Linked DNA regions of Oryctolagus cuniculus. The protein of the gene in region 2 purifies or fractionates together with the protein of the main gene of each other region. This does not show direct contact. Links are inferred from orthologs where the notes say so. Each region holds a gene or a part of one and is shown on either strand. Other genes may lie near its edges. The genes, in order: FTL and NCOA4.

Region 1 (3,607 bases), on a different chromosome or scaffold from region 2:
TTTGATTTCTCATCTTCACTAGGCCGGGTGTGCAGCTCAGAGGCAGCTGCTACTCGGGGACTCAGAGAGCTGGCTGTGTTGGGATGTGTCGTCATCCTTCCCCTTGGCCCGCGTGCGTGTGCGCATGTGTGAGACACACAGAAGCCCCCTTCTCCCTGGGAGCCCTGCCGGGAGGGGCGTGGCGCTGAGCAGGCCTCCAGCTCCCGGTTCACTTCCTCTGCTCCCGCAAAGGGAACAGGGGTCAGAGCTGACCCAGCAGACGCTTCTAGAAACCCGCGTAAGCTGCTTCAGTTCCCCTTTGGAGACTCTGGGCCCGGGTCGCACGTCTGGTTCCTGTGCTGAACCCCAACAGCATCACGCGCCCCTGCTCCTCCTGACCTGTCTTCTCGGTACGTGCCCTGCACCGGAGTTACCCCGGCGCGGGCGCAAGGAGCAGCAGCCTTGGCCGGCCGCTCTGGGCTGCCCGTGGTGAAGGGTCACTCATTGTTTACCTGCCTTTCAGAGCTTGGCCCGCTGCCTGACCCCATCACCGCCCAGGCTGCTGAGGCCGAACAGGGCCTTGCTGCCAGCCCTCCCTGAACCTGGCCCGACCCGCTGGGCAGGGCAGTTAACGGCCAGCCGGCCTGGCGGACCTCTCCCCTGCCAGCCCACTCCGTGGAGCCCTGAAGGTCCGTTCCGCCGCCTCCACCGTAATGCACACCACAACCCCATGCTGCAGCAAGAAACTTTATTTCCGTTTGGTCCCAGGTTTGGGAGAGGGTTCAGGGCTGTGAACAAGCTGCCTGGCGGCTGGCAGGAGAGCGCGGGCAGACGCGCGGCGCCGCTGGCTCCGGGCGCCCCTAGTCGTGCTTGAGCGTGAGCCTCTCGAAGAGATACTCGCCCAGCGAGGCCTGGGGGCCGCTCAGGCGGCGGATGTTGGTCAGGTGGTCGCCCATCTTCTTCAGGAGCTTCACCTCCTCGTCCAGGAAGTGGTTCTCCAGGAAGTCACAGAGCTGACGGAGAGAAGGGGAGATCAGACGGCGCACGGAGGAGGAAGGCTCACAAGGGAAATCAGCCCAATCAAAGGCGCGGTGGCGGGGGCACTTACGTGAGGGTCCGTGTGGGCGGATCCCAAGGCATGAAGGTCCAGGAGCGCCTGGTTCAGGTTCTTCTCCAGGGCCAAGGCGGCTTCCATGGCGTTGAGGGTCTTGCCCCACTCATCCTGGGACGGCTTCTGCACAAAGGACGAGGGGCTCAGCACTGGGCCCAAACTCCACTTTCCCAGCAGCCGTCGGGGGCCGGGGACGCTCAAAAGAGGTGGGCGGGCTTGTACTTACTACCCCCACCCTCCTACAAGAGTCGCCTCAGGAGACCACGCAGCGGCCCGGACCGCGGGGCCCTCAGGGTTCACCTCCTTTTCCAACCTTAACGACTCGCTCACGACTGAACTCAATCTCCCAGAAGGCCGCGCGACACCCAGCCGGCGCTCGGGCTCCGGTCTCGGCGCGCGCAGCCCGCCGGGAGATGTAGTCCGCGGGCCGCACACCAGGTACCTGCACGTCCTGGAAGAGGGCGCGGCCTCCGCGCTGGTTTTGCATCTTCAGGAGCCGCTCGGCGGCCTCGCGCTTCTCCTCCGCCAACTCGCGGAAGAAGTGGCTCACGCCCTCCAGAGCCACATCGTCGCGGTCGAAATAGAAGCCCTGCGGGAAGACGCGAAAGGAAAACCGTTGGCGGGAGGCGTGCGGGCTCCGCCCCCGGCGCCGCCGCGGGACAAAGCGGGCCCGCGCACGCGCAGTTGTGTGCAACTCGGGTCGGGGGCGTCCCGCGGACCCTCACCAGAGAGAGGTAGGTGTAGGAGGCCCGCAGATGCAGATTGACCAGGTGGTTGACGGCAGCCTCCACCTCGGGGGAGTAATTCTGACGGATCTGGGAGGTCATGGTTGGCGGCGGTGAGATGACCACAGAACCGCGGTGGGCTGGTCCCAGGAGCAGGAGGTGGCCGAGAGGTGGTCCCGGAGCTTCTGACTGGAGAGGAGGTCGGAGGGCGGTCGAAGCCTGTGAGAGAGTCCCCGGGCCTGTTCCGTTCAAACACTGTTGAAGCAAGACACAGGTCCGCGGGTCTCCCGACGCGTAGCTTCGGGCGGCTGCTTGGGCGGCGGCTTTTATACTCTGCTGGCCCTCGGGGGCGGGGCTCGGAGGGCGAGGGCTCGGCCAATTGGCGTTTGGGGGAGGCAGGGCCTCCGGGCGGCTTCTGACCAATCAGGCGCAGAAAGGGGGTCTCCGTCCCCACCCTGAGGTGGGGAAGTCACGCGCCTGTTGCGCGAGCCTGTTGTGAAATGGAGAATGGGGGTGGGGGTTCTGTGGCTGGTTCGGGGAAGTCGAGGGCTTCTGAGGGTCTCTCCGGGAGGTGAGAGGTTGGTGGGTGCCCGGGGAGCCCCTGGGGAGTGATGACCCTGTGGTCCTGGGGCTACCTCAGGAAAGCAGGGGTCTGTGGCCGTTTCTGAGAGCATGGAACTTTCTGGAACCCGGGGGGGGGGGGTCGTGCCTCAGAGCGCGGAGAGGACCTGCAGGCTGCCAGGGGTTTGTGCTGTGAGCTGAGGGGTCTCCCCGAGCAGGAGGGCTGTGGAGGGCTGTGGAGGTGGCTGTAAGCGAGCCCTGCGGATCTCTGGGAGGAGGGGGCTCCTGCCCTGAGGCCTGGGGGTTAGGAGGAGGTGGGGACACCATGGGCATCCACATTTAAGTCCTCCCCGGGAGGCCTTTAGGCGCTCCAGGTGGTCATTGATGCTGGGGCGTGTGGAGCCTGGGGTCGAAGTGGCGGGGAGGGGTCCTGGAAGTCTATTGGGGCGCGGGGGGAAGGGACGATTGTAAGAGGGGCCCGGCCCCTTAAGGCGCACAGAAGCCTGGGCTCCTCGGATGCCTTGGAGTCCGTCGGCGCCCAGCGTTCCTGGGAAGTGAGATGGGGAGAGTGAAACCCCCCGGGTGCTGGGGTCTCCCTGGGGTTGCGTTTCCTGGGGGGGCTGTTATGGCGGTAACCCAGAGACTTGGGGTCTCCCGTGGCCCCGGAGCAGTCTCTCTACAGAGGCCCCGTGTCTGGCCTGCCACCTGCTGCTTCTGCGTGTCCAGGAGACGCCTTGGGCGGCCGAGGGACAGAGGTCGGGGACACAGGGGCGGGGTGCCTGTCTCCCCGGAACGTGCATTTTTTTTAAACGCACCAGATGCATGTGGGTCTGGGAGTCAGGGGCTCAAACCAGCGCCCTGACCTCGGGGGAGGAGGAGCCAAGGCAGGACCTGGACCCCACTTAAGTGGCCCCTGGAGGCAGGCCTGGGGAGCCGAGGCCCCAGGCGCGGGGTGCAGGGTCAGGACCTGGGCGCTACAGCTCCTGGCCAAGGCGACCCCCAGGTGCTGGGCCCAAGCAGTATCTGGGGCCCTCGGCCTAGGCGGGTGACCAGGCCGGGATGTGCTGAGTCATGCTGACTCCGCGGGGGGAGGGGAAGGGGCAGTGGCCAGCGTCGGCCTTGGAGCTGCTGACTGCTTAAGACCCTTGGGACCAGACCCAAGGCCGCGCGCTCCCCCAGGGCGGCACCCTGTCTGAAACCGTGTGTGCGTTCTCGCGTGTCTTTGGTTCCC
Region 2 (4,534 bases):
AAATGTGCCCCGGGGCCCCTGCTGTCTGCCTGCAGTCAAGTCATATATGGGGGTCTCAGTCTGCTGAGCCCTTGACCTGGGTTTCTCCCACGGGACATGGTGTGCCATGCCCTCTTAACCCCCTGCATGGGCTAGGCAGGCACAGGATCACCCACATCTCCCCCCTCTGTTTTAGGACAGACAATATGGCCAAAATCTCAGCCAGTAGAGCAGCCTTTCTGCTGAGCATGGCATGGGGGAAAAAAAATCAATAAGCCACAACCCACAATAACCACCTCTGCAATAATCAACGCGTCGAGATGTAAGCAAAACTTCACGGGTCCCCACCAGTCATCGCCCAGGCCCTGGGTAAAGGTGGTGACTACCAGGTCAGAAACGCGGGTAGCATCAAGCTTTAGAATTTGTTGGGTTAAACTGAAGAGCGCCTGAGAAAACTGCCCATCCAAGAGCCCCGATGCAGGCTGACAAGGTATGGGACCAAGTTTCCCAGTCTAAGACAGGCACGCTGGAGACAGAACCATCTGTGAAGCCAACGTCACACTGGGGGTGCATGGTCTGCCAAAACAGTTCAATCTGTTTCTGATGTGAATCCAACCCCTGTTCTAAGGCCAGGATCGCTGTTTTGATCTGACCGGTGGCTTGGTTTTGGGTAAACAGGGGAGTGGCCGTTAGCTGAGTGACGTTGTTCACCGGTGCACTTTGGACTAGGGAAATGGTGGCGACAGCTGCACCAGCTACCGCAGTGACAATGGGTATAACAGAGCGATGATCAGTCCAAGGGTCCTCTTAGTCCGCTCTACCAGCTGCCTGACTGCATCCTTGAAGGGCTGGTCCCAGGGTCCAGTCAGTTACTGTGTGCCCGGACAGAAAGACAAATCACTGGGCCCATCCTGGAACCCAGCCTGGTCACCGGCGGCCTGAGTTTAACATCAGGGCTGCACAGATCAGCACCACCAGCAGCGGGCCCATTGGACTAGGGGTCAGGGACAGGTGTTGGGCTTGGTCCACCAGACCCTTGAGGTCCTCCATGTCACCCGATGTTGGGAGGAGGCAGGCCTCTTCCTTGTCTCTTCATGGGTGGCTTGTTTAGGGAAAGGTGCTGAGGTTGGCTGTTAGAGGGTCAGCCTTTGGAGACTGGGGTCCAGGGTTTGACATTTCGGGCCGGTATACACACAGGCTGAGGAGCGATCTCTGGAAAGACTCAAGTGAAACCTCTTCCCATAGTTGTCAGGGGATCGGGTCCCCTCCATTGTTGGGTGGGCGGGTCCTTCCATCGGACCAGGGGCAACTGGGTTGCGCCTGTGAGAGGTCTCCAGTGTCTCACCGCTGGTGGCTCTCCAGAGGGTGAGACTTGTTAGAAATTTAAGGTGAAGAGAGCAAAAGTTAATGGGCTCACCAAGACTTAATCACAGAGCCGAGTCAAAAGCTCCTAGCCGCACCACGTATCAATGACTCACTGAAGGCCAAGGTTTTATGTCCTCATTCAAATTATCGAGTGTTTAAGCTCATGACTGACTTACTGTGACAGCCCCTGAGAATACAATGGTGTGACCTTGCCAGCTAGAGGAGAAGCGATTCACCAAGGATAGAGCAAAAAGTAACCAATTATTTGGAATAAGGGCCTGGGCGTTACCAGTCCAGGTGCAACACCAGGACCTCTGCAGAGGGCCCTCCCACATGACAGAGGAAAGCTCTAGAAAATACTAAGAGACTCTCAAAGGGGGAAGGCGCCCGCTTCGGGAGAAGCCCCAGAGTGTTTTGAACCCCTCCCCCAGCCTTTTTTGAGATTGCAGCGCAGCTGATTTAATACAACGGGAAAGGTGTGGAGGGTGCTACCTAATTCCAAACCGCGAATTCCTGCACCTCTTCTCGGCCTGACCCCACCCAACGTTCCACTTTCGAAACACCAGTTCGCCCAAAGGCAATGCAAAACTGGAGAGATTCGCTGAGACACAAACCATCATACAACTTGAAATACCAAAGATTTTTTTTCCCCACCCCGACACCCAAGGACAAAGGCGCGGCCACAGAAGAGTCGGGGCAGAAGTCAACTGTGCTAGACTCTGCATCTCTCTCTCACTCAAATGAACAAACCTGCAAGCTGGCAATCGCCAAACGAGCCAGCATAGTAGCCTGCCTGAGTCCCAAGGCAGGAGAGGAACCTCCAACAGTCCTGGCTTCCGATTTCCAAACGACCAAGCAGGCTTCCCAAAGGCAGTGACCCGCGGGGACGCTCCCCGGACTGGAAAGTAACACGGGGAGTCACTCCGTTCCACCCTCCCCGGCCCCCGTGCCACCTCCACGGCCCGAGGCCGCGGACGGAGCTGTGACTGCTCCGGACACAGGAATCTGGCTGTCCGGTTCTCTTCGCCGCTGGTAACCTCTCCACCCAGAACATTGCGGGCCCTGAAGAAATGATTCTCCACGGCGTGAATCAGAGTGAGCGCAGCACGCCCTGCTCCTCGGCTGTGACACGGACCGAGGTCACCCCGCTATGTGGGGGAGAAGCAAAGGAGACGGCCCCGAAACCACTGTTTCTTTTCTTTTTTTTTTTTTCTGCATTTCCACCTGACGAGCTAGGCTCACGTGAACAGGCTCTGGGCCAGAGACCCAGACCCGAGCACCGGGAACCAGGGGCTGTCACCGCAGGGGCTGGCCGTGAGGGTGGCTGGGGGTACGGGGCCAGGCCTGAGCGACCGGGAGCCCCAGGGAGGGCGCGTCAAGGGCCAGCGAGGCCAGGCCAGGCCCCGACGGTGGCCTCGCGCCGGAGACGTCGCACGGAGGAGTCGGAAGCCAGGCCCGGGCCGGCGGCGGGCAGGAGGCCCAGCCCGGCAAACCAGCGGTCACCGCACCCCCGGCGCTCCCGCCCCGCCGGCCACTCCCGTACTTACCAGCTGCGAGCGCCTTTTCGGGGGATCCGACGCGAGCTTGGGTTGACGGAGACGCGGCTCCACAGAAGCCGAGGCTGAAAAGACAGAGTTCTCGCGAGAACGCCACTTTACTCCCACGCCTCTCGCCGCCCGTCTGACACTCTCGCGAGAGCTCTGCCCGAAGCCCTTGGCTGCCCTCTAGAGGCCGCAGAGCGCAGATGCACCCTTGCTGCCTGCCCTTAGAGTGTCCTTTGACTTCTTCGCCGAATAAATCAAATTAAATGACGCCAAGGTTTCTTGTTTTTGAAGGCAAATGCTGCACCCAGCATGGGATCCTAAGTGGTTCTCTCTCACCAGATGCCCTCACAGGCTTTCTCATTGAGATGCAAAAGTGTGAGAAGACACAAAAGGTGGACAGTTGTGTAATTCCACTCCCATGCAGAAACCAGAGCAAATTCCTAGAGCCAGAAAGGAGCATGGCATGATGGTTCCCAGGGGCTCCATGAGGCAGAGCGTGGGGAGCTATTGTGTGAGGGGCATAGGGTAAATAGCTAATATCAGCCCAAATTCCAACTCCCTGGAACCACTCCCAAGGCATGCTTAGCTGCTCCCTAAGGGCCATCTTGCACACCCAGTGTTAGGTGTTATCTATGTTAGTTTTATCTATGGCGCGATCTATACCCTGATTTACATCCCAGGCTCTAGCCCCTGCCACCATGGCTGAAAGCCAGGTGGCCACATGGCCCAACTTCTGTTGTCATGCTCCACCCCCACCCTAATGGGATTCCCTGCTCCTGCTTCCCTGCCCGCCCTCGGGCAAAGTTTTAAAAGGGCCTGTTCCTGCACACGTGCTCTCTTGGCTCTGCTCCCTGCTCTCTTGGTTCCTGTCTCTAGCCTCCTCCTCTGGTCTCTTGGTTCTTCTCTCCTGCTCGCTCTCCTCTCGGTTCTTCTCTCTTGTCCCCTCTCTTGGCTCCTCTCCTCCTCTCATCTCTCTTCTCCCTCCTCTCTGACTCTCTCTTATAGTCTCCTCCTCTCTTTCCCTTCGCTGCCCCTTCACTCCGGACTGTTGGATGTTCCCCAATAAACCCTTCCCCTTATTCCGGCATTCGGTGTGTTTTGTGATGGCTAACAATATATAACACCCTGCCTCCCTGCAGTGCCTCCTCACACCAGCTTCCCAGGGTGGCATTACCACGTTGGGATTCTGAGTGTGTTTGTAGCCAGATGCCTAGGGGGGGCTCCACACTCATTGCCAACTGCTTCCACTTTTCCCAGACAAGCTGAAGATCGTAATAGGAGCTTTAAAACAATTTAATTCATTTATTTGAAAGGCAGAGTTATGGAGAGGGAGAGAGAGAGGTCTGCCACCTGCGGGTTCACTCCCCAAATGGCCTCAATGGCCAAGGCTGGCCCAGGCTGGAGCCAGGAGCCTGGAGCTTTTGGGTCTCCCACGTGGGTGCAGGGGCCCTAGGACTTGGATCATCTTCTACTGCTTTCCCAGGACTTAGCAGAGAGCTGGATAGGAAGTGGAGCAGCTGGGACTCGAACCGGCGCACCACAATGACGGCCCCCAAAAGGGGGTCTTATGGGTCCCACTCCATGGCGGCTCCTACAAGGGGCAAGGCAACCCGAGTAGAAAGTGGCGGAGGCACCGGTGGGGATAC

Evidence for each region.
Region 1: the proteins of NCOA4 (region 2) and FTL purify together in Homo sapiens (co-immunoprecipitation; 3 studies listed by BioGRID and IntAct, counting the BioPlex papers as one, with this or other methods). This does not show direct contact. The link is inferred for Oryctolagus cuniculus from reciprocal best matches to the Homo sapiens genes NCOA4 and FTL.

The regions. Positions count from the first base shown.
Region 1 is NC_091449.1:8,287,694-8,291,300, forward strand, and holds FTL (ferritin light chain), read right to left. Parts: upstream 2,019-3,607; 5' UTR 1,918-2,018; coding exon 1,816-1,917; intron 1,680-1,815; coding exon 1,533-1,679; intron 1,214-1,532; coding exon 1,088-1,213; intron 993-1,087; coding exon 840-992; 3' UTR 712-839; downstream 1-711.
Region 2 is NC_091446.1:82,699,309-82,703,842, forward strand, and holds the start of NCOA4 (nuclear receptor coactivator 4), read right to left. Parts: upstream 3,048-4,534; 5' UTR 2,892-3,047; intron 1-2,891. UniProt on the Homo sapiens protein: Cargo receptor for the autophagic turnover of the iron-binding ferritin complex, playing a central role in iron homeostasis. Acts as an adapter for delivery of ferritin to lysosomes and autophagic degradation of ferritin, a process named ferritinophagy.